Linked DNA regions of Elephas maximus indicus. The protein of the gene in region 1 purifies or fractionates together with the protein of each later gene. This does not show direct contact. Links are inferred from orthologs where the notes say so. Each region holds a gene or a part of one and is shown on either strand. Other genes may lie near its edges. The genes, in order: PRKCZ and LLGL1.

Region 1 (15,182 bases):
GAGGAATTCAATCATGGAAGGCTGGGTTTTTTAAAACTCTGGAGGGATTGCTCACACTCCCTCCAAGTGGCAACCACACAATTTCAGGCACTTTTTTGGAAACTCAGTCACAGGATGTAATCACATAGCTTTTCACCCAAACATGGGATACCGAACCTCAACAGCTGGGTGTTAGGGACTGAACTGTATCCCCCAAAGAAATATGTTGAAGTCCTGACCTGTGAATGTGGCCCTGCTTGGAAATAAGGTCTTCGTAGATGTTATCAGTTAACATGAGGTGGGTACTGGAGCAGGGTGGGTCCCAATCCTATCTGAGTGGTGTTCTTATAAGAGAGGCGAGACACAGAGGAAGGACCCCATGTGGAGATGCAGCTACAATGCCTGGAGCCACCAGGAGCTCGGACAGAGCTAGGAACAGATTTCCCTTCAGAGCCTCAGAAGGAATGGACAAGGCAGACACCACATCTCAGACTCCCAGCCTCCAGAGCTGTGAGACAATATATTTCTATTCTCATAACCCACCCAGTTGTGGTCCTTTGTTCTGGCAGTCCTAGGAAATTAACACGCTGGGGACGGCACAGTGATTCCCAGTCACCCCAAACTCCACAAGCACAAATTCTGCTTGAGGGTAACATGGCTGATTTTCTGATCGAGGTTATCTGTATTCCATCCCACCAGTGCCTGTAAACAACAATGACTGTGAGGTTGGCTCAGGACCCGGCAGTGTTTCGTTCTGCTGTACACAGGGTCACTACGAGTCAGAACCAACTTTATGGCTCCCAACAAGTGCTTACAAAGAAAGTCTTCATTCAGGAGAACACAGACTAGGACAGCCACGACTGTGGCCAGCCTAGCGCCTACCACAGGCCCCAGCACAGCAGCCCAGGGCAGAGATCTCACTCATCGTCACCAGGAGAGGGGGTCCTCCCACTGCCCAATTCTGCCCACCAGAACCAGCAACCCTCTGCTCAGGGACCCCAGCATCTGCTCTAAGCTCATTACAGAGATTAACTCAGCTAATCCTCACAATAGGGACAGATGAAGAAACCAAGGCACAGAGAGGGTCACCCTGAGGTCAGCCAGGCCTCCTACCTCTGTAACCTCTGGGAGTTAAGGCCAGTCATCCTCAGCAATGGTCCCCCCACCTCCCCTCCCTCACAGCCCTCAGCCCCAGTGAAAGGTGTTGTCTTCCCCTAATTCCTCAGGTGGATGGCTCTGGTAAAAACCCTGGCACTGTGGGGGTCCCTGACACCAACCTGTACCACCGCCCACTCCTCTGTCACCCAATCCTGATGATTTGGGATCCATCCTGCCCACCCCCCACACCTCCATCACCACTCTCAATCACATCCAAACTCTGAATCCAATCAGCGGGGCACATGACCAACCCTCTGGCCCTTCCTTCTGGAAGCACGCTCCGGCCACATTACCATGTCCAGTCCACTGACCCTCCCACTTCCTCACCCCCTCCCATCCTCGCACCCCCTTCCTCCAGCCTACACCTAGGGCTGTCCTTTCTATATCTGTCAACATGCCCTCAGCTCCCCCGGCACCATTTGTCCACTGCACTTACCCAACAACACACCACCCTGACTGAGCCTGACTGTCCACCTATGGTGCTGTGACCGAGATGCCCAACTGTTCCCAGAAAACAACCACACCCGATTTCACCCTAAAACCATGGCCACAGAGTGCAAAGGAGTACACAGTATGACTCATGCCCACGTGAGTCCACTTCCCATGCCCAGATAGACAATAACAGAACTTCCCTCGGCCAAACCCTGACCACCTCCCAGCTGTCACTTTCGTCCTCCAAAGCATTGTGGGAACTTCCTCACAGTCCAAGTCCACATTGACACACCCTCCACTGGCTTCTCCACACCCCCTGGCCAGCTTCTCCACACCCCCTGGCCAGCTTCTCCACACCCCCTGGCCGGGAGGCCAGGGCAGGTCACTTACCTCTGGGGAGCTGTTGTGGAATTCCGAGACTGCTTAGGAGAGTACTGATACCCAAAAAGCATGCAACAGGGCCTCTTGGCATGGTCTGGTCACTGAGGACCCCCTAGGGCCTGGCTTCTAGCATCAGCTTCTCCTCTGCAGTCCCCTTCCCAGACCATCAGCTTCTCCTCAGCAATCCCCTCCCCAAGCCATCAGCTTCTCCTCAGCAGCCCCCTCCCCAGACCATCTGCTTCTCTCTCAGCAGCTCCTCCCCAGACCATCAGCATCTCCCTCAGCAGTCCCACACCTGCTCACATACCCTCTCCAGGAAGGAAATTCCAACCCCAGCCCATCACTCTGCAGCTACCACTCCCATTTCTCGTTAGAATGTCTGCAGCCGTTGATTGCCCCCCAGACCTCCCAGCCCCAGATCCCCAGAATTGAAGGGGCCCCTGCTCTGACCCCTTCTTCTCTGGTAACCTTGGGACATCTCTCCAGGGATGTCAGAAGGTCCTCTCAAGTTCATCATGGCTGCTAACTCCCTCCACCCCCAAACCTGCTCACCCAGCGCAGCAGCTCTGCCTTCCAGCCCCAAGGGGCATTACCCCACACCAACCAAGGGCAAGTTGGGGGTAATTCCAACTTCCTCTGCCCCCCAAGCCCAATGCTTCTCTGTCCAATGGCCAACAACCCCCACTCATGCCCCTCCAAGGGTCCGTGGTCACATGGCTCCCCCAGGCCCTGAGAAGGACGAGGCCCCAAACAGCCTGGGCACCAAGCTCTGAGCTGTATACATAGGAGGGTCTCAGTAAAAGCTCTAGAATAAAAGCCTGAGCCGGAGAGAGCCAGCAACCAAGCATCTCTATGACCCTATACTACTTAGACTACGGCTGCTAACCAAAAGTCAGCAGTTTGAATCCATCAGCACTCCTTGGAAACCCTGTGGGGCGGTTCTACTCTGTCCTATGGGGTCGCTATGGGTCAGACTTGACGGCAATGGGATTGGGTTGGGTTTTAGCAGGAGAAAGGCCTGAAGATCCACTTCCGTAAAGATTACAACCTAGGAAACCCTTTAGGGCAGTTCAACTCTGTCACATGGGGTCACCACGAGCTGAAATTGACTAAATGGCAAACAACAAGAAAAAAACAGGCCTCTGGAACACACAAATACCACGGAAGAAAGGGCTGACAATCTGCTTCCATTAAGATTACAGCCAAGAAAACCCTACGTTCAACTCTGTAACACAGGGGGTCACCATGAGTCAGAATCTGCTCGACAGCCAACAAGTTTGATCTGGAACTCCAACCAACAGAGCAGGGCCTAAACTCAGCAAGCGCCTATAATCACCTGGAAACTCTCTGAGCTTTCAGGTACCGCTGGACCCCCCTGCTGAAGGAACTGGGGAGGGGGGGTCAAGCTTCTGGAGGGTACCCAGGGGGGCCATCACCATGCGGATGGCTGAAAAACACTCCCTTTTTTAAGACCAGCGTCTCTGAGGTGTACCATCCTCAGCTCCTGACTGTGGAGCCCCACAGCAGTGTCCCCAGGACACCTCCATCCCAGTGGCAGCCTCTCACCTGGTGGCCACCTCATCTTGGTGGGCACTTTCCAGAACACTGCAGTAGCTGAGCTCTGGTACCGGGTCTCCCCATCCCCAGTGCCCCAGGTCTCAGAGTTTCCAGTCCCCAGAAAGAGACACCAAGGCAGAAGCTTTAGGAGAAGCAGGTGCTGGGAGGGCTGAAGTGGCTGGGATTGGGGAAGGCCTCAGGCAGAAAGGAGAAGGGAGAAGAAAGTGGGTAGAAAGGGACAGGGAAGGGAGAGGGGGAACCTGGAGGATAGTCGAGAGGAAGAATGGGAAAAGGGAGAGAGGGGAGAAGGGAGGAGAGGACTTAGGGAGATGAAGGGGGGATGAGGAAGAGGAGAGGGAAGAGGAGAGAAGGAAGGGGCTTGAGAGTGGAGAGAGGAACTAGAAGGGGCTGGGGAGGGGAGGGGGAGGGGACGGGGTGAAGGAAGAGGAAGGGGGCGTGGCCTTCTCAGCCTTGAAACTGGAGTCAGCAGGTCTCATTACAGGGTGCTTAGAAACCAAAGCGCTCCCCAGGGGCCTGAAGCGCTGGGATGGGGTGGGCAGGAGCTGCTGCAGCACTCAGCTGAGAAATCCCTGGGGCACTGCCCTCCAACTCTGCCCAGGACTACTTGGGTGCCTGTGTCTCATCTCTGTGCCAGCTGAACTGGTCCTGACGAAAGACTCAAGGTCTTGCATGCCCCATGGTGGAGGGGCAGCTCCGGAGTGGATGTGTTCTCATCATGGTGCGCTGGGTCAACCCTCTGCTCCCGCTAATTTTTAAAAATGTTACTTGTTGCTAGATCTGCGGGATCCTTCTGTCTGTGTCCTTCTATAGGGTCATTATGAGTCAGAATCTACTCCATGCTGGGTTTGGTTTTCTCGCTGGGAAGGGGCAGCCTCTCGGACCTCTGATGAGACATTCAACAGAGAGCTTAAGAACCAGGAGAGCCAGGACGCTGGACAAGTCCCAGGGCCAGAACTTCGACATTTTAATCAGCCCCCACTCTCTGGGGTCAGATGACAGCACCTTCTGACCTCTCAGGGAGCTACTGGGCCAGGCCCTCCCCAAGAAAACTTCCTTCTTGCTCTGTAGCCACCAACGCCCCTCCCACAAACTTTCAGGTGCCCAGGCTGAGGCCAGCAGAAGAGACGGGGGTTAGCAAGTGGCCTCAGAGAAGAGATGAAGACCACGGAGTCTGGACAGCAAACCTGGGGCCAACTCGCCCTCGGGACCTGACTAGAGACCAGAAGAGGCTGCGCTCAAGGTCAGGAGTCGGCAGGCCCTTCTCCAGGTGCGGGAATCACGGACCCCCAAAGGGCTACCCAGGACGGGGCCCGGCCTCGGGAAGAAGCCACCCCTCGCTCCCAGGCCTCCATGGCCTGAACCTGCTGCCACCGCCCTGAAGCAAAGGGAAGCTGCTAAAGCCGGACTACCAGGTTCACCGACTTGGGCAAGGCCGGCCCTCGGCTTGGCTCCACTTCCCTCCCGACATGGAGAAGCACCTCCGGGAGCTCCCAGGTTCGAGCTCCGGGCTCCTGGAGACAGATCCAATGCGCCCACTCCTCCCTCACCCGGTGTCCCCGCCGCGCGGAAGGCGGCGGTGGGATCCATTTGCCATGCCACGGAGCCCGGCAATCTGGGCACAATGCCTCTTCACTCCGCCAGGGGCTGCCCAGCGCCAGGGGCAGCCCTTTGACCCGCGCTCGGTCACCGACCTCTGTGAGGCGCCCACTAGTCCCATTTCAGAGACCCAGGTCGAGTCCAGGCCGTCCCAGGCGGACGAAGACGCGAAAGTCTTGTCTGCTGGAAAGGCCCCCAACAGACCGCGCCTCGGCCCGCCAGGGTCCCTCGGTTCTCGCACTCATCTGCACGCTCGCTGCACCTGTCTTCACCGGCCGTATTACACTTTTTTTTTTTTTTTAACTGAGCTGTCCCGTAAACTATGGAGAAGTTTAGAAAATCGCGATCTTTTTTAAACTTCCAGAAGTGTTCACAATTCTATAAAAATTTTAGCCCTTAAAGGTTTGTAGGCTAATGTCCATAGCCAAATTTCCACTGGAAATGTCAACAGCAATGTGGCCAGGTTGCCAGACTCCCAGCAACGCCAGCTTCCCCCGCCCCTGCACTCGCCCCGCGGGGTCCTCCGGCCAGTACGAGTCGGTAAAGCCCAAGTGCTGGAGCGCGGCGCCGGCACGGCGCGGACCCGGGGCGGCCAGGGACCCGCCTTCGCCCAGCAGCGCTCTCTAGCCGGGCTCCGCCATCCGGAGCCAGGCCAACCCCGCCCTGTCCGCTAGGCTCCCGCGGGTGACGTTCCAGAGCTCCCGGGGCCGCCTCTCGGCGCTGCCCGTCGGGACCTCCCGGGATGCACCTGGGACCGAAGGGCCTCGCTGTCCTCCCGCATCGCGGCCGCAGCTCCCGGCCCGGGGTCGGCAGGGGCTTCTCCGGCGGTCTCCGCGCCCCGACCGCCGCCCGCTCGCGCTCCGACTCCTCCAGCCGTCGGGGCGCGAACTCACCCGCTATAGTGCGCCTTCAGGCGGACACGGCAGCCGCTCCCGTCCATGTTGGCGCCGGTCCGGCTCGGCATGGCGCTCCCGACGGCCGTCAGGGCCGCGCCTCGGGTGGTGCGGGCGCTCGGGCCATGGCTGGGGGCGCACCTGGCCGGGGGCGCAGCAGTGCCAGGTGTGGCCAGCGGCGGAACGCGGAAGGGAGTGCGCGGCGCGGGACGAAGGGACGCGCCGCCGACGGACGCTGGCCCAGCCAACTCTGCTGGAACTTGGGCGCGGGGCGGGGATGGGGGCGCGGCCGGGCGGAGGCGCGCGGCCGAGCGGCAGCGCGCACGAAGTGCGGGCGTCAGGGGCCCACGGGGGCGGGGGTCCGAACATGGCCGACCCGAGACCGAGCCGGCGACCAATCGGCGGGGCGCGGTCGTCCCGGGGCGGGGGCGGTGGCACCTGCGGCCAATGAGGGCGCCGGCGGGCGGCCACCTGAGCCAATCCTCGGGGGATTCCGCGGCCGCGGCCCAATCGCCGCGGCGCAGGACGGACTACCTGTCGGGCGGGGCGCGGCCCCACCTGCGGCCAATGGGAGCACGCGTGGCCCGGCTCTGCCCGGCAACGTGAGACTGGGGGCCGGGCTGGAGGGGCCTGAGAGCCCCCTCGGCGCCAGGCTCCTCCGGGAAACGGGCGCCTCCGGGAACTTGTTGGAAATGCAAGTTCTCGAGCCCCGTCCAGACCTATGGAATCGAAACTCCAGCAGTCGGGGTTAGCAAGCCTCAGGACCCCCCGGGTGTTGCCGCCGGTCTAAGGAGCAGCGGGGAGCGGTGCGCCGGTGACATGTTTTAAACGCAGTGGTCAATTCTCAGGCTTTTTTTTTCCAACAGGTCCCTTCTAGAAACCCTACCTTCCCACCGCTCCTGCTGCTCTTCCTCTCGCTCCTCCTGGTCTTCAGCTCGTGAACGGTGCCTGATCTCGGACTCTTCTCGGGCCCTGCAGCTTCTCGTATAGGCTTCTTGTTATATGCCCTACAGTCGATTCCGATTCGTAGCAACCCAGTAGGACACAGTGGAACTGCCCCGTAGGCTTAAAAAAAACCCCAAATACCATTGCAAGGTTTCAGCGCTCTCCTGAACTCCAGACTATGTCAAACACCTGATACTCTTGCCTCTTACATCCCTCATCACGCCATCTGCAAAATATTTCCAGAATCCAGACACTGCCCATCACCTCCATTGCTACCACCTGGTCCAAGCCGCACCTTTGCCTGGATTATTGCAGGAGCCTCGGACTTCGTCCCATGCCCCACCCCTCCCCCCACCCCAGTCAGTTCTCCACATGGTAGCATCAGAACCCTCTTAAAACATAAATCAGGCTGTGTCCATCTCATATTCAAGCCCCCCCCACCTGGTTCCCATCACACTGGGAGGAAAAGCCACCTCTTTATGTGCCCCCTCCCTACCATGCCCTACAGTATCCAGACGCTCATCTCCCCCACCTCATCGTGACTTACTCCACTCCAGCCTCCTTGCTGCCCCACCTCAGGGCCTTTGCAGTGGCAGTTCCCTCTGCCAGGAGCACCCCTACAAGGCCAAAACCCACAGGTAATTTGAGTCTCTTCCTAATGTCCCCCCTCCTCCGGTCTTCTCAGCTGGGCGCACTGAGCTCCATCCCTGTAGGTTGGGGGTGAAAGGGTGCAGAGGCCGTCATGAGAGGGGAATCAGCTGAGTGCACCAGTGAAGGGTGCCCAGCCAGGAGGGGTCAGTAAGCCCAGCTTCCGTGCAGGCCTCTGGCTTCCTGCCTCAGGGACACTGGAACAAAGCTTGCCCAGGCAAGGAAGGAGGGTAGAGAGGTCAGGGAGAAGCCCTGGCCTGAGGCTCACCTCCCACTGCAGGCAGGTAGGCCCCCTCCATTCTAGTTCTTGGACACGCCCTCCCAAGGCCCCACCCAAACCCAAAGGCCATACCTTTCCCAGAAGGCGTTTACCAATAGGAAGCCGTAGCTGGGGTGAGACCTCCAGATGGGAACTCTGTCCTGGAAGGTGGCTCCTGGGCCACTGCCAGCCCCCATCCTCATGGGACAAAGCTAGAGGAGGATAGAAGCTGCCTGACCTGGGCACCATGGGGAGGGTTCAGATCCGTGGAGCCCCCAGCTGGGTGCCACAGTGGGAGGTTGACGGACCGTTAGTGACCCTGAAGTGGCTGTGCTCTGCGGGGTTAGGGGAGGGGAGAGGGGGTCAGGAGCCTATTCCAGGTGGGAGGCCTCACTGGGAGGTACCTTCCCCTCTTCCAGGGCTTGCTGACTGTAGCCCCTCCCCCCCTCCACACACACTCCTAGCTAGCCCTCTTCCTCTGCTGCCCTCTGGCCATGTCCAGCCCCCAGCTGGGGTTAGATCCAGTCAGTGGTCCCACAGGCTCCGGCGGGGTGGGGCTGGGGGTTTGCTGGGGTCGTTTGCCCGCCCATCCCTAGACATTTCTTCCTGGGGGCGGTATCTGACATCTGCTTTCCTCAGCAGGCCAAACCGTCCTGTCATCCCACTCCAGGGAGGGAGGGTGAGCCCTGGGGAGTTTCCCCGGGCCCCCCAGTGCCGAGCCTTTGGCCCACACCCATTAGGGCCCCAGGCAGACGGACAGACCAGTAGGTGTCCAGCCCAGGGGCTTCAGGGTTCCTGCAAGCGGCGCCATGGCGAAGCCTCACAGGGTATCTGCTTCCACGTTCACCAACCACTCTCCTCGGGTGTCAGCTGAGGGTGGGGCTCTGTTCGCCTGGGACCCCTCTGGATCCCCTGCCATCTCCGCAGACATCTGACAAGCAGTGGAATGAACAGATGCATGAATGAGTAGGTAAACGGGTCCTCCTGAATGCTGGAACCTGGTAGGCCTCCTAGGACCTCAGGCCCCAGGGCTGGGGAGGGAGAGGGTAGCCGACTAGAGCCATTTCCACCCAAAGGGAACCCTGAGTGTGACCCTCAGGAGGGGTGACCTACCCGAGAGGGTCGATGGGGAGGAGACAGGTTACAGTCCTCGCACCCCGCCTCACCGCACCCAGTGTACCCGTGTCACGAAACCGAGCCCCTGTGCGCCCAGGCCTGGCCAGGTCCTGGAGGGGGAACCTGCCACTCCTCGGCCCCCGCCCCTTCTCTGCCCCCAGGGCGGTGCAGGCAGTCAGCGATGAGAAGATCACATCTGCAGGGAGGCGAAGACTGCGGAGTAAAAACGGGTGTAGAGGACGCAGCCTCCTGGGATGGAAAGTTGAGATGAACCCCCAAAGGAGGCGCAGGCAGGTCGAATGCAGAGCCCTGGGGAGGATCCGGGAGGGTCATTTTCTCCTCCAGACATTTCTGCAGTTCCCAAGTTTCCCACAAAGACGTCATATTTTGTAATCACTAACACCTGTTGGAAACCCGAGTGGCATAGTGGTTAAGTGCTACAGCTGCTAACCGAAATGTCGGCAGTTCAAATCCACCAGACACACCTTGGAAACTCTATGGGGCAGCTCTGCTCTGTCCTATAGCGTTGCTATGTTGGAATCAACTGGACAGCAGTGGGTCTGGTTTTGGTTTGGAACACCTGTTAGCTCCAAATAGAAAAAAAAAATACTTTTTTAACTGATTATGGAAGTAACACAGGCTTGGTATAAAACCTCAACAGCACTGAAGAGCAGAGAGGTGGGAAGCCCCTTGGCCCCGCCCCCTCAGGAGGCCAGCCAGGCCTGGTTCCAGCCCCGGCGTTCCCCAAGTCCACCTGCAGAAGGGTGCTGCACTGAAGTGGAGAGCCCTGGTGGCGGCAGAGGACACAGGGCCTTGGCCAGCCCCTGGGAGTGTGGCTGTGGAAGGTGGTATTGGTCACCATCTGATTTTCTTTTGTAAAGGGCCGGGTGATGATCCTTTCAAAGGACTTGGAGATTCTTTAGATGAGAGAATGCACACAGTGTTTATGCTCCAGGTGACTCAGCAGACAGGCCTGTGGGGACCAGGGACCTCTCCATGACCCCAATGCCTGGTTTCCAGAGCCACCTTTCTCACTGAGGCTGGTGGACCTACACTGGGCCAGCTCATGGTGCAGACTGTCCAGGAAGAGGGCTTGCTGAGCCACTGGGGTCAGGCATGTTATCCCTCCAGGTGTGGGCTGACCCAAGGGTCACAGGAAGAGCATAGAACACTTGCCAACAGGCCTTGGCACACGCAGCTGTGGGACGAGATGGGGGAGCAGATGTTTCCCTTCTTTATCACGGACCATGTAGTTTGGAGAAACTGAGTTGGTATAACAAACATTCACTGCACTCATTCATTCATTTGGCTAATGTTTATTTTGGTTCCCTCCGCCCCCAACCCCGACACACTCCAGGCCTCCCTCTGCTTATCATTTGCTCCCCTGTCCCTCCCACAGCTGAGTGAGCTGCATCTGCTTCTCCAGGGTATACATCAGTTCTGGCCCAGGCGACTCAGCAAACATCTCTACCCAGCAGGCTGACTTTCACCATTGCCGTCAAGGCCAGATATGTGTGTGTATGTGTGTGAGTGTCTGTGTGTGTATGTGTGTGTGTTGGAGCATCTCTGTGTGATGTGTGTACCTGTGTGTGTTGGAGTACCTATGTGTGCATGTGCATGTGTGTACTGGAGTATCTCTGTGTGCATGTGTGTACCTGTGTGTACTGGACTATCTGTGTATACATGTGTGTACCTGTGTGTATTGGAGTATCTGTGTGTGCATGTGTGTACCTGTGTGTACTGGAGTATCTGTGTGTACGTGTGTGTACTGGAGTATCTGTGTGTGCATGTGTGTACATGTGTGTACCTGTGTGTACTGGAGCATCTGTGTGTGCATGTGTGTGTATCTGTGCACAAGCGTACCTCGTTTTGTTGCACTTTACTTTATTGAGCTTCGCAGATACTATATTTTTTACAAATTCCAGGTTTGTGGCAACCCTGTGTTGAGCAAGCCAATCAGTACCATTTTTCCAACAGCATGTGCTCACTTCATGTCTCTGTGTCACATTTTGGTAATTCTCACAATGTTTCCAACTTTTTCATTATTTTTATCTCTGTTGTGGTGATCTACAATCTGTGATCTTTGATGTTACTATTGTAATTGTTTGGGGGGGGCACGAAGCTTACCCATATAAGATGGCAAACTTAATAAATGTTGTATGCACCGACCACCCATTCCTCCATCTCTCTTTCTCTCCTTGGGCTTCCCTGTTCCCTGACACACAACAATATTGAAACTTGGCAAATTAACAGCCCTACAATGGCCTCTGAGCGTTCAAGTAAAAGGAAGAGTCTCACGTCTCTCCCTTTAAATCAAAAGCTAGAAATGATTAAGCTTAGTGAGGAACGCATGTAAAAAGCCAAGACAGATTGAAAGCTAGGCCTCTTGTGCCAGTTAGCCAAGTTGGGAATGCAAAGGAAAAGTTCTTGAAGGAAATTGAAAGTGCTAGTCCAGTGAACACAGGGAACAATAAGAAAGCAAAACAGCCTTATTGCTGATATGCAGAAGGTTTTAGTGGTCTGGATAGAAGAGAAAACCAGCCACAACATTCCGTTAAGCCAAAGCCTAATCCAGAGCAAGACCCTAACTCTCTTCAGTTCTGTGAAGGCTGAAAGAGGTAAGGAAGCTGCGGAAGAAAGTTTGAAGCCAGCAGAGGTTGGTTCCTGAGGTTTAAGGAAAGACACCATCTCCATAACAGAAAAGTACAAGATGAAAAGCAGTAAGTGCTGACGTAGAAGCTCCAGCAAGTTATCCGGAAGATCTAGCGAAGGTAACTGACGGAGACGGCTGCACTAAACAACGGGTTTTCAGTGTAGACAGAACAGCCTTGTATTGGAAGAAGATGTCATCTAGGACTTTCATAGCCAGAGAGAAGTCAACGCCTGACTTTGAAGCTTCAAAGGACAGGCTGACTCTCATGTCAGGGATTAATGCAGCTGGTGACTTTAAGTTGAAGCCAATGCTCATTTATCGTTCTGCAAATCCTAGGGCCCTTACAAATTGTGCTAAATCTACTCTGCCTGTGCTCTATAAGTGGGACAACAAAGCCTGGATGACAGCACATCTGTTTACAACATGGTTTACTGAATATTTTAAGCCCACTGCTGAGACCTACTGCTCAGGAAAAAATACTCCTTTCAAATTATTACTGCCCATTGACAATGTACCCGATCACCCAAGAGCTCTGATGGAGACATACAAGGAGATTAATGTTGTTTTCATGTCTGCTAACACGACATCCATTCTGCAGCCCATGGATCAAGGGCTTAAATACATTTTATAAGGCTATAGTGGCCGTAGATAGTGATTCCTCTGATGGATCTGGGCAAAGTAAACTGAAAACCTCTGGAGATGCCATTAAAAACATTCATGGTTCATGGGAGGAGGTCAAAATATCAGCATCAACAAGAGTTTGGAAGAGGTTGATTCCAAACCTCATGGATGACTTTGAGGGGTTCAAAACTTCCATGGAGGAAGTAACTGCTGATGTGGTGGAAATAGCAAGAGCACTAGAATTAGAAGTGGAGCCTGAAGACGTGACTGAATTGCTGCAACCTCGTAATAAAATTTGAACAGATAAGGAGTTGCTCCTTATGGATGAGCAAAGAAAGTAGTTTCTTGAAATGGAATCTGCTCCTGGGGAAGATGTTATAAATATTGTTGCAACGACAACAAAGGATTTAGAACAGTACATAAACATGGTTGGTAAAGCAATGGCAGGGTTTGAGAGGAGTGACTCCAGAAGAAGTTCTCCTGTAGATAAAATGCTATCAAACAGTGCCGCTTGCTACACAGAAATCTTTCATGAAAGGAAGAATCAATCAATGAGGCAAACTTCATTGTTGTCTTATTTTAAGGAATTGCCACAGCCACCCCAGCCTTCAGCAACCACCACCGGTCAGTCACCAGCCATCGATATCGAGGAAAGACCCTCCACCAGCAAAAACATTATGACTCCCTGAAGCCTTGGGTGATGGTTAGCATTTTTTAGCAATAAAGCATTTTTAAATTAAGGTATGTACACTGTTCTTTCGCCATTGCACACTTAATGGTCTACAGTATAGTGTAACCATAACTTTTATATGCACTGGGAAACCAAAAAATTTGTGTGATTCACTGTACTGCGATATTTTCTCCATAGCGGTCGTCTGGAATAAAACCTGAAATATCTCCAAGGTATGCCTGTATATCATGCCAGGCACTATACAGAGTGCTGGGAATACAGCAATGAGTCACCACACAGTAGCCTTTCATGGAACCTCCATCCTGGGAGGTGGGGGGAGTCAAGGCGAGACAGACCACTGTCCAAAACGGCAGGTCTGCTGAATATGGGAAGGAGAGAGCAGGTCTGCCCACGGTAGGAAAGTCCAGAAAGTCCCCAGAAAGAGGCTGGCTGTGGGTGGCAGTGGGCCCTGAGGAAGTGTGTTGTAACGTTAAAGAGGAGGGGAGGCATAAGGGATGACTGTGCAAAGGCCCTGTGACCCCAGGGAGTAGGGTGATCTGAGAAAGGGAAAGGCAGCAGGGAGGGGGTGCAACTGGCAAGGCTGTAGAAGCTTCTGGAAGCAGAGCCCAGGGCCCCGTGGGCCATGTTGACAAGGCTGGTCCTCATCCTAAGGGGGAGTGGTGCCATGGCCACAGAAGCGTCAGAAAGGGCCTCTCCATCCCAGCTGAACTAGGTTCTGCCTAGGGTGAGAGGAGAGACGTGTGGCTGTGTCTCTCTGTGTCTGGGGGCACATGTCTATGTACATGTCTGTGTGTCTGTGCCTATGTCATAATGCCTGTGTGTGTGACCATATGTCTGTGTATCTGTATGTCTGTTCAGTGTATTGTGTGTGTCCATGTACATGTGTCTATGCCTGTATGTATATATACACGTGTGTGGCACAGTGGTTAGCATTGGCTGCTAACCAAAAGGTCAGCAGTTCGAATCCACTAGCTACTCCTTGGAAACCCTATGGGGCAGTTCGACTCTGTCCTATAGGGTCACTATGAGTCATAATCGACTTGATGGCAACAGGTAACCGTCTATGTGTGTACGAGTGCAGACATATGTCCATGTGCGTCCCTGTATTTGGTTGTATGTCTGTGTGTATTTGTGCATGTCTGTGTACCAGTTACAAAGTTATTACCTCACAGTTCCAAGTTCACCATTCAATATCTGGCTAATAGATGGAATTCCTCCAAGCCAGGGTTGCTCAGGCTCAGCACTGTTGACAGTGGGGCCGATGACTATGTGAGGGGGCGTCCTGTGCACTGTAGAGTGCTGAGCACAACCCCAGCATCCTGTGCACTGTGTGGTGGGGGTATCCTGTGTGCTGTGGGGTGCTGAGCGTATCCCTGGTCCCCTCCCACTGATGCTGGAGGTTATCAGGCAGCTCTGGTTTACAGTGAGCGTGGTGCTCAGCTTTCCCAGTAGAGGGCACTGAGGGGACACTGCAGGAGCAAGGGCTCCACTTGCTGACTCCAGCATTGGCAGGTGGCCGGTTCAAGTGTGGGCATGAGGACATTTGGGGGTGCTCTGCCCAGCCACTGCCCACAACACAGGGACCCTCTACTACCTGCCTGGTGATCACCTCCCAATCCAGATACACAAGCTCCAAGCCCCCATCTGCACCCAGCAAGCTGCATCTGCTTGTCCACTGGCTGCACCAGCTCTGGCCCAGACAACCCAGCCAACATCTTTGCCATCCAGCGGGCCAAGCCTTCACCATCGAGGCCTGAGCCCCAGGCTGCAGAGGGCCCACCTAAGTGTGTCCTTCCATGGGCACCTTCACTCAGCCCAGGGCACCACCAGTGTTTTCTTCTACCTATAGTCACTCTTATCACAGTGGAATAATTAAATATTTTCCCTATAGTAATAATATTCACTAATATATTAATTAATGCTATTCGTAACAGTAATAATATTAAATGTTAATATGTAATATGTTTACATTGCTGTGTGGCTTCTGTCTCCTGATTGGATTCAGACAGATTCAGTCTGTGTGTGTGTGTGTGCGCGCGCATGTGCACATGCATATCTGTGTGTTCTGCGGTATCTGTGTGTGTATTTCTGTGTGTGTCTGCATGTAGCTGTGTACGTGTCTGTCTGCAAGTTCTCTGTGTGTGTGCATGGTGTGCTTGCTCTGTGTGTGCCTGTCTATGTGTGTCTGTGTCTGTCTGTTCTGCATGTGTCTGTGCGTGTGTAGGTGTGTAT
Region 2 (15,795 bases), on another chromosome or scaffold:
AAGGGTCTGCCCCTCAAGCAGTGTCAATGTGTCCACGTTCAAGAAGACGACGCTGCCACCCTCAGTGCCAAGGACTGCCCTGTCGCCGGCATCCACCAGCAGGACCACAGTGACACGGGAGAGGCTGGGCAGGGTGCTGTGCAGAGGGGAGGGGTGAGGGTGCAAGCCCCACTTGCCGGGAATGTGCCGAGGGGCTGGGTTGCAACTGAGCTCACTGCTGGTCCCTCTGCACGCTGGCACCTATTTATGGAATGGGCCGGCGTGCGGGGAGGCAACGGTGGCAGCTCCACGCATCATAATTAGCCTGTTCAATCACTCAGTAGGACGTGGGGAGAGGAAGAAAACGGGTTCCCCGCGTCTGAGAGACAGGCGGCTCCTCAGCTCCTTCCACCCACCAGGAGCAGACGGGAGCTCCAGGACAGCACGGAATCTCCACCACCAGCCCTCTGGACATCCCTGACTTCACGGGGAGGCCCCGGCATGGCCTGTGGACAGGAGCAGGACGAGCCTCTCCTAGGAGCCCAGCTGGGTGGTATGGAGGCCGGCAGGGTCAGGAAGGGAGAGACACTGCTGTGCTCCAGCCACTTACACTCTCCCCAGGGGCCCAGTCCCCAATCCACTGCCCCCGGGGGGCATCCTGCCAGCACCACTTAATAGCCAGCAGGACTCCCGTGCCCCAAACCTACACATGAGGGCCCATTCCTCCACCCAAACGGAAGGAGCTGGAGGGCCCTCACTGATGTCAGGTCCACAGGGCCCTGCTCCAGCCTGTTCACAAGTTCCCAGGCACCCCACCATCCCAGGGACCACAGCACCGGGCAGCAGCCACAATCAGCTGAGTTTGGGGCACCTGGGCTCCCCGGTCCTGTGCTCCCACTGCTCACAGCCCATCAAAGGCACCAACAAGTCCTGTTGCAGACACCTATTTGCTCACCTTGGACTAAGCTGGGATCTCCCACTAGCACCTCTGATATTCCGCATAACACGTCAGTAAACAGGCCAGTCATACCAAGTCCACATGCTCTGCTTGGGATGACCCAGGCCTGGGTCCACATAGCCCACACCTGAACCCCAGCCCTCCTGGCAACTTTAAGGATGCCACATCCTGCGTAGGAGGCTCATGGCTGAAACCCCCCAGTGCTGGTGGCTTGGTGCCTGGCCGGGGCCTCCAGTACCTGGTGCCATCAAAACCGGGGCGGCTTGGTGGCTGGAAGCTGAGTGTTTCCTCCAGGTGGGCACAGCCATTGTGAGGGACGATCTCCCAGAGATGCAGGCTGTTGTCGTCCAGCAGGGTCAAGAGGCGACCCTGGTGACAAGCAGAGAGCCAGACCAGGGCTGGCCTAGGGGGGAGGGCAAAGGGGCCTCGGGGAGGGGTTGGGGGTAGAGGCTCACCTGGCCAGGCAGGAAATGCATCTGGGTGACAGTGGCTGCATCATGGTGCAGACCTGTGAACTCCACACCGGGAGCACCATAGCTGATGGTGACTGGTCAAGGGCAGAAGCAAGCAGGCACTGGCAGGTAAACTAAGGCATGGAGACACCCCCAAGCCTCTTTCTTCCCCAGGACTATTCTGATGGACCCTGCCCTGGCCCTGCCTAGCCAAGAATCCTCAAAGGTCCACCCTCAGGCACCCCCTAGCCCAGGGTTCAGGGTGCAGGTTCCACCAGCTCCTGCAAGCCAGCACTGCTGTGTTGACCTTCGCTTCCTCATCTGTAAAATGGGCCAATGACTCCTACTTCTCCGGGCTGTTGTGTAGAGGAAGTGAGGATAAAAACACGCCTGAAACACTTAACCTGGGCCTGATACGTAGCTGGGGGCCCGCTCTATCTCACCCTCACATTTGTGTGTGTCTGTGCGCATACATGTGTGTGCATGTGTACCCAAGAGCCATGCCTAGCTGGTCTGGCCACAAGCATCTCATCAAGACAGGACCAACAGAGGCCACAGAGCCATGTGTCCTGGCCAGGGAGACACAGGGTATGGGGTGGGGGACACGGGAAGAGAGTCCTGGCTGCCTCTTCCCATAGCTTCGGTCAAACTCCAGCTGTGGACAAGGAAATCAACCGCCCTCCAGGGCACGTAGCCAAAGGCCTTCACCAGGAAGGAGGAGGGACCCTTGCCTGTCCATTTGATATAATAGCACACAGAAGCTTGGAAAGGTTAGGTGACCTGCTCAAGGACCCCAGTGTCAGTGCCAGAGTCCTGGCAACTCTGGGTATGATTGTGGACCTGGTGGACCAGCAGGCTTGTGGGGCCCCATGAGGGTGTGCTGAGGGGGGGTGGTCAGTGAGGCCTGATGTTGCCCTGGCAACAACAAAGGAGCTGTTGCCTAGAGCTTGAGCTGGGATTCCCTGCAGAAGCCTGGCAGGGAACACAGAGGAGGGGACAAAAGAGGGGGCAGGAGCAGCTGGGCGGGGACCAGGGTCTCCAAGGATATGCAGCCAGCCTTGCAGCGGGAGGGGCAGCTCTGGTGATCAGGGCTGGTCCCCTCCAGCCTCAGTTTCCCTACCCCAGGGCTCAGGCTGTGGGGCTGTGGGAAAGGAGGGAGGAGAAGGAGAGGGCTCCCCCTGCCTCTCTGAGGCACGGCAGGTTCTTTGTGACAACAGAGGGCTGACCTACAGAAAGCCCACAACTCGGGAGGGCAGCTCTGAGAGCCCCCAGGGCATGATGCTCGGGAACAGGAGCCTCAGGGAGACACTGCCGGCTGACAGGGTACAAGGTGCTGCAGGGGCTCCCTTTTGCCTACCAGGTGTCTCAGGGGCCACTGGGGAGGAAGGCCAGCCCACCTGCCACACCCCCTAAAGTAGGCAAGAGACTCCAAGGCACAGACCAGACACCCACCCTGAACCAGCCAGCACCCCAGGGCCTCCCCTTTCCAGGCACTGACTCATTTTTCTGCCAACTGGGAGGGGTGGGTGGGTGCCCCTTGCTTAAGAAGCCTTAGCCACCAACCAGGCCCGCCTGAGGGGCGACACAGTGAGCAGTGGGTGGGATTCTCAGCAGCAAGCAAGAAGGCGTTCGGCTGCCCCCCCTCCCACTTGCAGGGAAAATGCCTGCTTTGTGCAGCTCACATGGTCTGATTGTGCGGCCGCCAGGCCCCAGGTGGGGCCGTGCTGTGCTCTCCATGCCCAGCCTGGCACTGCCCCCAGCCCGCGCCGAACACGTCTGCACACGCACACACGTGTGTGTCCAATCACCAGGGAAAAGCACACGTGTGACCTCCAGGTCCCTGCCCCCCTGTGGGTACCACCTCCTAGCCCCCGGCCCCCCTAGTCACATGTTGATGGCGGAGTCACCTAGGTAACTGCCTCACAGAGACACAGGGCAGGGACGCCATCCTGGCTCACGGTAAAAGGACCCCATCTCTGTGAGGACCCTCACAGGCTCAGAGGCCATACCGACACCCATGTTGTGGCCCAACATCCCAGCCCTCACCGCAGCCCCTGACAGAGCCCCTCCTTCCTCACTCCCTAGCAGACAGCCCCGAGGAGAGGACCAGGACCCAGGAACTGCCAGCTGCTCCAGAGGCCAGGGCCACAAAGGATACATCCTGACAGCCCCAGACCTGGTGCCAATGGCCATGATGCGCAGTTCGGGGTCGAAGGCCAGGGCGCTGGGCTGGTTGGGGAACCCATGCTCCACGGTCTGCGGGGTGGGGGGTAGGTTGTTGGAGTGGCAGGGGGCACACTCAGGCACAGCTGCCCCGGCCATCCCTAAGGCCCACCCAAGGCAATCAGGCTCCCGCCATCCCCTGCATCACGAGGCGGCATCCTCGCTGTGAAGGGGCCCTCTACCCACGACCCCACACTGGTATTCCCCATGGCCCTCACTGAATGCCCATGTCACTGACACCACTGTGCAAAGGTGCTGGTGACACATAGTTCACTAGGGCCAGCACCAAAGAGGAAGCCTGCCTCATGTGGGCTGGGGCTTATTAACTCATCCCTGGAGGCACAGAATGAGGCTCCGAGAGAAGTCAGCTGCCCAGGGTCCCACCTAGAAGTCCATGGAGGACCCCAAACACAGGCCCTGCAGGGAAGCCAGAGGTCAAGGGTTAATATCTAGGGTCAGCTAGGGAGAGACTCTTGATGCCCCCTGGGGCTACCATCCTCCATCCCTCACCTCCCCAGACCCAGAGACAGGGAGACTGAGGCCCAGAGAGAGGAACCTTCCAGCCCTACCCCTGAAGGTGTCACCCACTCCCAGATTTTGGTTCTCCCACCTGGAAACTGGGCAACAGGATTCCCACCCTCAAGCAGTGGTGAAATGGTGTGATGGGGGCTGCACACCAGGGGTGTTGGCAGAGCATCTCCAAAGACACCACCCACCTACGCAGAGCAAAGGCCAGTCCCAAGTGGTGTCGCCCCTTCCCACCACCATGCCTGCACAGAGATCTCTCACCTGTGCCCTCCTCGGTCTGCCTGCCTGGGAGCTCCCGCCAGCTCCAAGGCTCTCCCTAGGGATGGCGCACAGTGGCCTCCAGTCCTGACATCACTTGAGGGCCACACTACCCAAGGAAGACACAGACTTCCTAAGGCACTCTGCCTCGGCCCGTCCACACCAAGATGGAGCCCTCTGGGCAGCTGGCGTGCCCATGGCCTGGCCCTGGGCAAGTCACAGCACACTCTAAGTCTTAGTTTTCCCATCTGGACAACGGGGGCAGTGAGGCCACCAGAGGACAGAGTTGTTCACTGAGGGGGATGTGGCTTCCCTTTCCCACCAGCACTGCCAGCCCGTGCTGGGCCTGACTGTGGCCAGTGCCTGGTTCAGCCCTAGTGTCAAGCACACAGGACACAGGAAGATGCTGAGTATATGACCTGCTAGGCCCTGAAGGTCTTACAAAGAGGGAGATAGGCAGGGTAGGGCCGTGATCCAGTATCTGGTTCCCTCACACCCCACCTTCAACCCCTCCTGACCCCATCAGCTCAGCTTCTCACACCCCAGAGTCCCCACCCCGTGCCAAACCCTACCAGTGCTTGCCAGGACTAGTGCCATAGCCGCCTCGCTGGCCTCCCTATCCCTCCCACCCCACCCCCGCAATCTGCTCTCCACACAGAAGCCAGAGGGAGCCTGAGAAAACCAAAGTCAGATCTGGTCTTTCCTCTGCCAGGACCCAGGGCACCTACCACACTCAGACTCAAAGGCAGAGTCCTTACCACCTGGCCCATCACCTCTGGCTCTCATCTCTTCCCACTGTCCTGTCGCTCTTTGGATTCAAGTCTCCACAGCCTTTGTACTCTCCAACTCACTAGGCAGGCTCCTGCCACAGGGCCTTGGTACCTGCTGCCTGGAATGCACTCTCCCAGGGCTCCTCATGACAGGCTCCTTCCTACCACTCAATCCTTAGCTCAAGAATCAACTCCTTAGAGGCATCCCTAAGCCACCCCAGCTAGAGTAGCCACCCTGTCCACACTCTCCACACCCTCGCCCTGCTTTAATTTTATCCACAGCACTGGCCACTGGTCAAACTATTGCCTATCTTACTTTTTTGTTTTGGCTTTTTGCTGCCTCTCCCACTGGAACATTAGCCTTCTGAGAACAGAGATATTTAGCCCTTTTGGTCACTCCTCTGTCCCTAAAACCTAGAAAGAGGCCTCACACACAACAGGGTCTCAGTATTTGTTAAAATGACAGAGTGGACATCCCACAGGCAACTTGTAAGCAGGGTTGGGATGTGAACCCAAGACTGCCAGAGACCAAAGTCCATGCTCCCCCTGACCCACCTCCCCAACTTAGGATCCAGGGCCTACTCCCTAGGGATCACCTACTATCCCTTTCATAACTGAGCCTCTTCCCCAAGAGCACCTCCCTCCCAGCACTGCTGCCCACTCAGAGTAGGGCCTCAGCAGAGAGCTCTCACCTTCTGCAAGCCCAGGGCCAGCCAGAGGAGGCAAGCCTCCCCATCTGTTTCAGGTCCCTGTTCACACTCCACCTCACTGGCTGAGGAAGTGACACTTTAGCTCAGTGCCTGTCCCACCCCCACCCCTCATTCTTTTCTCACCTCATGGGGCTCATAGCCACCCCAGCACAAGAGGAGCCATCTGGGAACCCTCCCAAACACCAGCCTTCCTCCCCGGGCCCTACTAGGGTCCCTGGCAAGGTCTCAGCCACCAAGTCTGAGGGAACCTCTGCTTGCTCTGGGAGATGGACCCAGTGCCTCAGTCACTCTAAGTCCAGCCACTCCAGAGCTTCCTCCTGGACATAGGTCTCCTCATGGCAGCCCAGGGCACCTGGCACCAGCTCAGGACCACAGCGGCCACTCAGAATATTCCTGCCCCTCAAGACTAACATCAAATCCAACTGACAAAGAAATTCCAGGACAAAGTGCCTCAGCCTTCTCTGTGACCTTGGGCAAGTCACCATCCCTCTCTGAACCTCAATCTTCTCACCTGTAAAATGGGGATAATAACCCTAAGAGCAGTGAGGGGATTTGGCATAAAACTGAGAACAGAACTCACAGACCCAGGAGGGGGGCCTCATGCTACTACACGCCAGTGCAGGGTGAGGCATGGGCTGAACGAAGCCCCTTTCCCATTGCCCCTTCTGACTCACCCAAGGAAAGAAAGGAGGAGCAGCCCTCCACCCCACCTTCTCCTTGGCTCAAAGTGTCAGGTCACCGGCCCATGTGATGCAGGGAGCCAGAGCCCACGGCAGGGTGGGTAAGGAGCCATTTCACGGCAAGGGAAACTGAGGCCCCGAGATTTGAAGTGCAGTTGGGACTCTCGGCGGCGCAGGGCAAGGCCCGGGGCTGGCAGTGGCGAGAGGAGAGAGGAACCTGGAAGGGATTTCCCAGCCCCACCCCCACGTCCGCCTCCACTCCTCGTCCTCCCCGCCCCGCCAGGGTGCGAAAGCAACACAACTCGGGGCCCTGGCCGCCCCAAGAGCTGGGCCGGGATGGGAGCGGACGAGGATCCCCGCAGAAGGAGCGATAAGGAGAGAGTAAGCGACAGGGTCAGTGCCAGAAACCCGGCAGGGTCACGCGGAGCAGAGAGAGACAGCCAGAGACTCCGAGATGCAGAGACAGACAGCGAGGAACCGAGAGGCAAAGGGATGGGGGAAACTGGTCAGCGGGTGGCGGCGACACCGGGCAGACTGACGACAGGAGTCGGGCCCAGGGACGGGGAGAAGGCCCGCAAAGTCGGCGGAGACCCCAGCCGGAGCCTGCGGGGGGTGGGGGCGAGCGCGCGCCCAGGGGCGCCACCGCCCCTCCCCCGCCCCCTGGTCCGCGCGCCCCCCGCCGTCCCTGGCCCAGCACCTTGTGAAAGGCGAAGAGCTCCTGCTTGAGCTTCTCGCGCTGCGGGTCGGCGCCCTGCCGCCGGAACCGAAACTTCATCATCTTGGCCCGGGCCCGCCGCCCGCAGGATGCGCCGCGCGGCCCCGCCGGTCCTGAGGGCGGGCGGGGCGCGGCCCGGGCCTGGGGGCGGGGCCTACAGGGGGCGGGCCCGGTCGACGGACGCGCCGCCCGACCAGTGGGCGCGCCCGCCTGCCGCCGTCCCGCCCGCAGGCAAGACAATGGAGCTCTCCGGGCTTGCGGACAGATGCGGCAGAGCATGCGCCGCAGCGCGTGGCCTGCCGGGACTTGTAGTCCTCGATCCTGGGCGCGCGCGTGGGCGGCTGTGGACGTAGTGTGCGGGAGTATCTGGGAGCTTGAAGAAGGCGTATTTCTCCGTCCCGCGAGCGAGCGAAGTGCACATCCAAGTGATGGGGCGTCCCTGTAACGAAAGCCAGGAGAGTTTTGAGTGGAGCAACTCCCTGGCCCCTGAGGCTCAGTTTCCCTATCTACGCTGTGGGCCATTGGCCAGATGCTGGCTGAGTTTTGTTTCACCAGTTAGTTTCGCAGGACGACACTTTCTTTGTTTGCCAGTGTGCCAGAACAGCTCCCACATGGCCGTGTGGTTAGACAGGAAAGTCCTCCTCAAGCCTCAGCTTCTGAGGAACTCCTCTGCATCCTTCAGGACCCAAGCCGAAAGGCTCTGTGTGGTAACACGGGATTCTTAGGAGTGGTTATCAGGCAAAGAGAGGGATAGAGACCCAAGAGAGGGAGAAGGCTCTTCTGAAGGACATGACATTTGGATGTTTGGCCCTCAAATTGGAGTGGGTTTTCAGAGATGGAGGAAGGGCTTCCAGGCTGCAGGGAACATTGTATAAACAAAGCTGCACCCCACCCCTACTCTGAGAGGGACCCTTGGCCTGTACCCACTTGCCTTTTCAGTCCTCCTTTTCTCATCTGGACAGTGGCCTGGAAGCTGGGTCTTTCCTTCTGGGCTTCAGATAGACTGCCCTGGAACCAAGGCTGGGTGAGGTCAGAGCCCCCAGAAGCTTAGGTGGGGCAGGTGGGCAAGGCTCCAACCTCACCAGCTGTGTCAAGGGAGACAGGGCGGACATCTGACCCCTAGGCAGCTGTCAGAGACAGGGGCCTGGCTTCCCCACCCCCCTCCGCCCACACAGCTCTGTTCAGCCCTTTCCTGGGGCTGGATGGATGGATGGATGGGTGGAGGAGCAGGGAGGGGAAAAGAGGGATGACGATAAGAATGCAAAGCTTATGAGCGTCTGCTGTGTGCCAGGCACTATTGAAAGCCCTCGCCTAGTTTCAATTGATTTCATGCTTTCAACAGTTCTGTGAGGGGATCACCAATATTTCACACTCCAGTTTTACAGATGAAGATGGGCAGAGGCAAGGGGTTTTTTTAAGCTGTGGGCAGAGATGGCTGGACTGAGGCTCAGGCCCCTCCAGCACTGTCCTTCCAATGACTGAGTGACAAGGCCTGAGCCCCAGTTGCTCTTCTGCAAAATGAGTCAATAACGCGTTGCCTGCCTGCTTGCCTAGCGCAGGGCCTCACGTGAGAAGTGCTAGGGAATTGCCGATTCAAATCCTAAGTTCACCACTTAGAAGCTGTGAGACCTGAAGCAAGTTACTTCAGCCCTCTGTGCCTCAGTTTCCTCACCTATAAAACGGCAGTCATACTAGTGCCTACCCTCAAAGGGTTCTTGTGAAGATTAAATGCAGTACTGCTTGTGACGTCTTTAGGACATGCCAGGCACCCAGGAGGAGCCCGGTGTTAGCTGTTATCATCATGGCTCTTGTTAATTGCTATTTGAGCTGTTCCCCTCCACCACCGGGACAGGTCCCTGCCCTTCCTTTGTCTCTATGTCTCTGTCTTTGAAATGGGGTTGTAGTCATCAGGCATTACTCTGCCAATGCCCCACCCCTTACCAGCTCACGGTCTGACGGGAGACAGATGAGAGCCCACGTCCACTCACAGTGCCAGTAAGCTGTTCTGTGTTGGGGCACCAGGACCTGAGGGAGCCCAGAAGGGCCATCTGACCCAGACAGAGAGGGTGGGGGGCAGGCAGGAAAGGATCCCATGGTAAGCAGGGGTTCTCAGATTGTCAGAACCCCTCAACACTTGTTAACAATGCAGATTCCAGGTCACCAAACACCAAACTGTGGAGCGAATGGGTACACTGAGGTGCACATGGGTAAACTGAGGCCTGAGTAAGGCAGGCTCACCCCATGCACCCAGCCGGGCAGGGTTCAGGACTGGCACTGGGGAGGGTACATCTCCCCAGGCTGGGAGGCCTAGGGAGGTAATGATTGTTTGTCTGTCCTCTCCCCTGTGAGCTGGGACAGCCTAGGCCTATGATTACCAGGCGGCCCAAGAAGACTGGGCCAGGAGGCCAGTCCGTGCACCTCAGTGGGCTCCTACATGCAGGCCCAGGCCTGCCCTTGCCTACAGCAGGAAGCTGTCAGGGAAGCCCAGGCAAGAGCTTGAAGGAAGGGTCCTCAGGGATTCTAGGTGCCCCACACCCAACCTGAGGGCGGGAGGGGGCAGCAGGGTGCCTGGTCAGCAGCATTGGAAAGGGAAGCTGCCCTTCTCCCCAGTCTCCTAGCCCTAGGTCAGCTTCAGGCTAGGGAGAGGCTGCTGCCTTCTGGCATTTCCTGGGTGGGGCAGCATTTTCCTCTTCCAGGATCCTAGGCCACCCTGGGGCTCAGCCCAGCTCTGGCATGGGTCCCAGGTATGGGTTCAAATCCCAATACCTCCCCTTCTACATGGGTAACCTCAGCTAAACCACTGGTCCTCAGTTTCCTCATCTATAAAATGCAGTGAGGATTAAGTAAGATGATTCACAATATGAATTGAGCACAAAGCCTGAAATGGTCTGTGCCTAGTAAACCTAGTAACCTTTTTTTGGTAGTACACCTAATGAACCAGCCACACTGGCCTCCTGACCTTTCCTCAAAGATACCAGACAAGTTCTTGCCTCAGGGTGTTTTCACTTGCCCATTTCCTCTGCCTGGAACACTCTTCCCCCAGGTATCACTTCACCAAATCCTTCAAATCCTTTGGATTGTGACTCAAATGACACTTTCTCAAGGAAGCCTCCCTGGACCTATTTATAATTTTAAAAACCCATTGCTGTTGAGTCGATTCCAACTCATAGCGACCATATAGACAAGAGTAGAACTGCCCCATAGAGTTTCCAAGGAGTGCCTGGTAGATTCGAACTGCTGGCTTTTTGGTTAGCAGCTGTAGCACTTAACCACTACGCCACCAGGGTTTCCTATTTAGAATTAAAACCCACTGCTTTAGCCACTAGGGTTTCCTATTTAGAATCACAGCCTATAAAATTCTGGTGGTAGCAGCAGCAGCAGCAGCAGAACCCCTCTAACTTCAGGGGGGAATAACACAAATCAATATCAGCCCAAGGCGGAGCCCTCTGAGGCGGAGGTCAGACATACCTCCACTCTCCAAACTTTTCACCAATTCTGACACCAGCCGTCCCTCCCACAGCAATGTCTACTTCTCTCCTGGGTTCCATAATCCTTTACAATGGATACACAAAACTCATAGACCATACTTCCAGTTAATTGGTTTATTAAGGTACAGGTACAACTCGGGATCAGGACAAGGAAGCAGGTAGGCAATATCTCCTTTCTTCAGTGTAGAACAGCTCTTTCAGCTCCTCTCAACCGTGCAGGCCTCCTCTCCGCCCCCGATGACTGGTTCCTCTTGGCTCTGCTGTCTGTTGCTGTGCTGTCTTCAGTGTTACAGCCCTTGACCCATGTTATGGCTCCTTTAGGAGGTTCCTTGTCTCCCCTTGTTCTGGCGCTTCTTTCTTTCTCCCTGCTGCTTTTCTTCCTGCTTCTTTCTGTCTGAAAAACCTCTGTAGGTTGGCTGCTTCTATGGACAGCTCTTTGTCCATTTCAAGGCATGGCCCCTTCCAGTGGCGGCGGGGGGTGCCCACAAACTGACCAATACCTTCCGGTAGGCCACAGACCCTCGTTTGCATAGTCTATCGACCAATCTCTGCAAGGTACATACCAATAGCAAGGCAGGCTGCAGCCAAGGACCAGACGAAAAGTATCAACCCAGTTGTTTACAGCTTACCCAGGGAATGTCAATCAACCTGGTAACAGACCCTCTGAGGTAGAAAATCATGGCAAAGGTAACTCCTCAGGGTTTGGGGGGAAAATCTCCCAAGGCTGTTTTTCCGAAGAACCAAGGCAAAAGGCCACATAAAGGAACTCACTTCACCACACAGGACTATCTGTTTGACTTCTTTCTGTGTCCATTGCTGTCTCCTCAGCTGAAGCATGGGTTTTTAATGCTACCGTTCATTGCTCTGTCCCCAGTGCCTAGAATGGACCTGGCACATCATAGGTGTCAATGATTTTTAAAAAATACAAAAAAAAAAAAAAAAACTGAAGCAAATATAAAAAAATACTACCATGATTGGGCAATGGGTGTTTGTTATTTTCAGTATTTTTCATGTTACTCAACATTGAAATATTTAATGAAAAGTCATAAATCCCAGATCATAACAATCCACACTGTTTAGAAGTGCGTGGGGGGCAGGTGGGGGAATAGAAGCATTCCTGAGCCAGGCTGGGAGTGAATTCAGGAAAGTGAGGAGGCCGGTTTGGCAGTTGCCGTGAGAGGTGCTGGAGGGCCTTTGGAGGCCAGGATCAGGGAGCTGCAGGGAAATCCACAGCTGTTGACGGAGTGTGGAGATAATAATCCTGATGGTGTCACCAGAGGCAGGCACCCCAATCCATGCTGTACCCCAGTGCCCAGTGCTGTTATCCATGCTGTATCTGCACTTTATTTCCTTGAATCCTCAACAAATCTGCAAGATGGGTACAAGGATGACCTCACTTCGCAGCCAGTAAATGGAAGCTCAGGGCAGGGAAGTGACTGGCCCAAGGTCAGCTGCAGAGGGAAAGGGAAAGAGGATGATCCCAGGGAAGGACAAGGGGAAAGCCCCAAAGGGAGGTAGAGTAGAGGCAGCTAGGGAGTGGAGGAAACCAGGAGCGAGCCTGGCTGAGGGAGGCGGCCAACAGGGCTACTGGCAGGCCCTGCCTTCTAGGAGCTAGCCCAGACACTAGCTGAGGCCACACCCTTCCCCTTCTGCCCAAGCTACAGGCAAGCAGCTTCTTCCAGTGGTTCCCCAGGGGTCTGGCCTGCCTGAGGATTCCTGGAGTGCAGCCTGGACTGGGAATGGGGCTGGGCAGGGCCTATGGTGGAGGGAGATGGAGAAAGGGGGTGGGGGCTGACTGGGACAGATACCACCAGGGAAGCAGGACTCCAGACCAAGAGCCAGCAGGCCAGCCCAAACCAGGGGAATTGAGCCCCTCATCCAGCAAAGTGTGCAAAGTGAAGGGGGCCATCAGGGCGAGGGGAGGGGCAGTGGACCTGGGCCTCTCCACTGAAGGATGAAGTGTCTGGGTCTCAGAAAAGGCCAGACAGAGTGCCGGTACTCCATTTACAAAGGAGAATACTGAGGCTCAGAGAGAAGTGATCTGCCCAAGGCCACAAGGGGAGTATGGGTCTCTGGACTGACAGCCTAGTGTTCCTTCTCTAGATGCAGGATTCTCAGCCCTGACACTTGCCCTGAGCCTGGATCCTGGGGCTTTTCTTGACTCGTGCTGAGCTACAGGACCTGGCAACTTGGGTGCACCTGCCTGCTTCAGGGAGTGCTAGGTTTGAGACTACAAGCACTGGGCAGGTGGGGACTATCACAGGCCCTTTGGAAGCATAAAGAGCTCTGTGCTTTATTCCTCTTTGTGGCCCCAAGTTCTAATCCTGCCTCTGCTACTTCACCTCTCTGGGCTTCAGTTTCCTCATCTGCAAAATGAGTCTAATATTAATTGCTACTGTTTATTAACATAGAGCTCTTTGTGCCAGACACTAGTCATTCTTTGAATCTCTTGCCCATAGGAAGAAGCTGAGGCCAGAGAGGTTAAGTAATTTGCCCAAGTCACACAGCTAGTAAGCAGCAGAGCCAGGGTTTGAGCCCGGGCCCCAAGTGAGGTATTAGGTTGTGGTGAAAGTTAGAGGAGGTAATACATAAAAGGCTCCACTCACAGTGAGAGTTCAGTAAAGACAGTTCACTCCTAGCCTGGAGTGAAGGCACTGGGACCTGCTCAACGGGCATGACCACATGGCACACGTTGGGTGTCCTGGGGAGCACTGATGAGGCCAGTCGGGGGCCAGGGAAAGCGGCTTTGTGTAGCCGCTGCCTGAGCTGAACATGATGAGCAGGGTCCCTGGAGAGCATCCCAGGCAGAAGCACTGGTATGTGCAAAAGCTCAGAGGGCCGAATGCACCAGTGAGTTGGGGCAGAGAGGTATGGCGTGGGGCTCAGACTGGGGGCTCTGGGCCTCCCCTTGTTCCCCAGGGCCCAGCGCCCCTCCACTTATGCAGTAGCCCTGAGAGTCCTGGCTGATGGGTAGAAGCAGCAGGAAACCGAAATCTCGCCCCTGCATAACCTCTGGCAGGTTCCAGGGCCTGTGGGGCCTCGCTCCCATCCAACCAATGGACTGCTGTCCCCTGCCCCAGGTCTGAAGCATTGTCGCTGACTATGCTGCCACACTGTGGGCACAGGGGTGAACTGCAGACATGAGCCCTAACACCTGGCTGGAGGACCCCAGCCCTGACACCAGCGTGTAGAGGTCCAAGCCCCGCCCCACTTGTCCTAGCCTTTTAGTTTTGAACCCCTTAGCTAATAAGCTGCCTGAGGGACCCTAAGTCTGATCACATCACCCCTTTCCTACGGGATACTGGGGCCACTTGCCAGTTGTCATATTTTTAAATTTTTTTGTCAGTTGTTAAACATAGCCATTATTTAAAAATTATATAAACTCAAAATACTAAAAACAAAGGTAATAATATTCAGAACTCATCACTTCATTAGTATTTTAACTACATTTTACTGCTGCTTCTGCTCTTTTAACTGTACAATGGTAAGCTACTGCATGTCTCTTCCCAACTCCATATTCAGTGACCTCATGTTGGTAGCTCAAAATCAGCCACGATGGATGTACTTTACACCATGGAAATTGGCAAACACCACAAATCAGGCTTGATTTTTATTCATTTTCTAGATGAGCGCTGACCAATAGAAATATAATGCAAGCCACATATATAACTTTAAATTCTCAGGTAGCCACATGTAAAACAGTAATGCAAACAGGTCAAATAGCTTATTTTATTTAACACAGTATGTCCAAAATATTATAATTTTAACACATAATATAAAAGTTACTGATACATTTTATTATAATTTCAACACATAATCAATATAAAAAACTTACTAATGATAAATTTCACTTTTTTTCCATACTAACTCTTCAAAATCCGGGGTGTATTTTGCGCTTTACAGCACATCTCAAGCTAGCCACAGGTCAAGTGCTCAGTAACCAGTGTCCAGTGGCTTCTGTACTGAACAGCACAGGTCTAGATTTAAGAAGGTGATGGAGAAGCTGTTAGTAATGCAAGTTTAAAAGTAGTGTTGCACTTAGGCTAAGAGACGGTAATGCACAGCTCTCACACCTCAGTGGCTCACAGCCACAAAGGTTGACGTCTTGTTTGGCTACACGTCCACTGGCATCAGTCTCTCCTCTTCATCCTGTGACCCAGGCTGATGGAAGAGCTTCTAATTAGGACATTTCTGGCCTCGTGGAAAAGGAAAAAAATGGTAGCGGGCCAATGAAAGAAATGAGAGCCGAAGTTGAAAGGAGTTTCAGCCCAATTAATGTGTTCAAGGATGAGAAACCAGCCGGTCATGTATCAGATTTAATGACAACAAACTGATTGAGAAAAGAGCAGAGTAGGGGGTAGAGTCATGGTATCAGACCCTACTCCCAGGAACCTGTGAATGCTCCTTCGTAACGAAAAAGGGTCTTTGCAGATGTGATTAAGGATCCTGACATGGGAAGAATATCCTGGATTACTCGGGTGGGCTCTAAATCCATGACAACTGTCCTTAGAGTGGCAGAAGACTTGATACACACAGAAGAGGTGGAGGCAATGTGACCACAGAGGCAGAGATTGGAGTGATGCAGCCAGAAGTCAACTAACGCTGACAGCCACCAGAAGCTGCAAGAGGCAAGGAACAGATCGTCCTCTAGAGCATGGCCCTGCTGAAAGTCTTCATTTTGGTCCAGTGATAGTAATCTCCGATTCTTGGCCTCCAGAACTGTGAGAGAATGGATTTGTTTTTTAAGCCACCAAGTCTGTGGTCATTTGTTAGTGGCCATGGAAAACTAGTACAAGCAGAGAGGGATGCAACTCCATTTGTCAAATTGTGGTTGAATTACAACCGTATGTTGGCTATACATACCAGGATTCAGCAAAAACCAACAAAAGCTTTCTGTGAAAAACAACGAAGTACAGGCAGTCCCCAGGTTATAGTTATGAACCAACCCCAGTAAAGCCTATTAACTGTGCGTTAAAAATCCAAGGTACATACAATGGTTTGTAGTATCAAACAGGTGCTACTTTGTGACACGCG

Evidence for each region.
Region 2: the proteins of PRKCZ (region 1) and LLGL1 purify together in Homo sapiens (affinity purification with mass spectrometry; 6 studies listed by BioGRID and IntAct, counting the BioPlex papers as one, with this or other methods). This does not show direct contact. The link is inferred for Elephas maximus indicus from reciprocal best matches to the Homo sapiens genes PRKCZ and LLGL1.

The regions. Positions count from the first base shown.
Region 1 is NC_064821.1:40,593,459-40,608,640, reverse strand, and holds the start of PRKCZ (protein kinase C zeta type), read right to left. Parts: upstream 6,357-15,182; 5' UTR 6,089-6,356; coding exon 6,018-6,088; intron 3,875-6,017; exon of another isoform or gene 3,517-3,874; intron 1-3,516. UniProt on the Homo sapiens protein: Calcium- and diacylglycerol-independent serine/threonine-protein kinase that functions in phosphatidylinositol 3-kinase (PI3K) pathway and mitogen-activated protein (MAP) kinase cascade, and is involved in NF-kappa-B activation, mitogenic signaling, cell proliferation, cell polarity, inflammatory response and maintenance of long-term potentiation (LTP).
Region 2 is NC_064820.1:214,120,627-214,136,421, forward strand, and holds the start of LLGL1 (lethal(2) giant larvae protein homolog 1), read right to left. Parts: upstream 7,399-15,795; 5' UTR 7,337-7,398; coding exon 7,256-7,336; intron 3,646-7,255; coding exon 3,548-3,645; intron 1,475-3,547; coding exon 1,393-1,474; intron 1,307-1,392; coding exon 1,176-1,306; intron 137-1,175; coding exon 1-136. UniProt on the Homo sapiens protein: Cortical cytoskeleton protein found in a complex involved in maintaining cell polarity and epithelial integrity. Involved in the regulation of mitotic spindle orientation, proliferation, differentiation and tissue organization of neuroepithelial cells.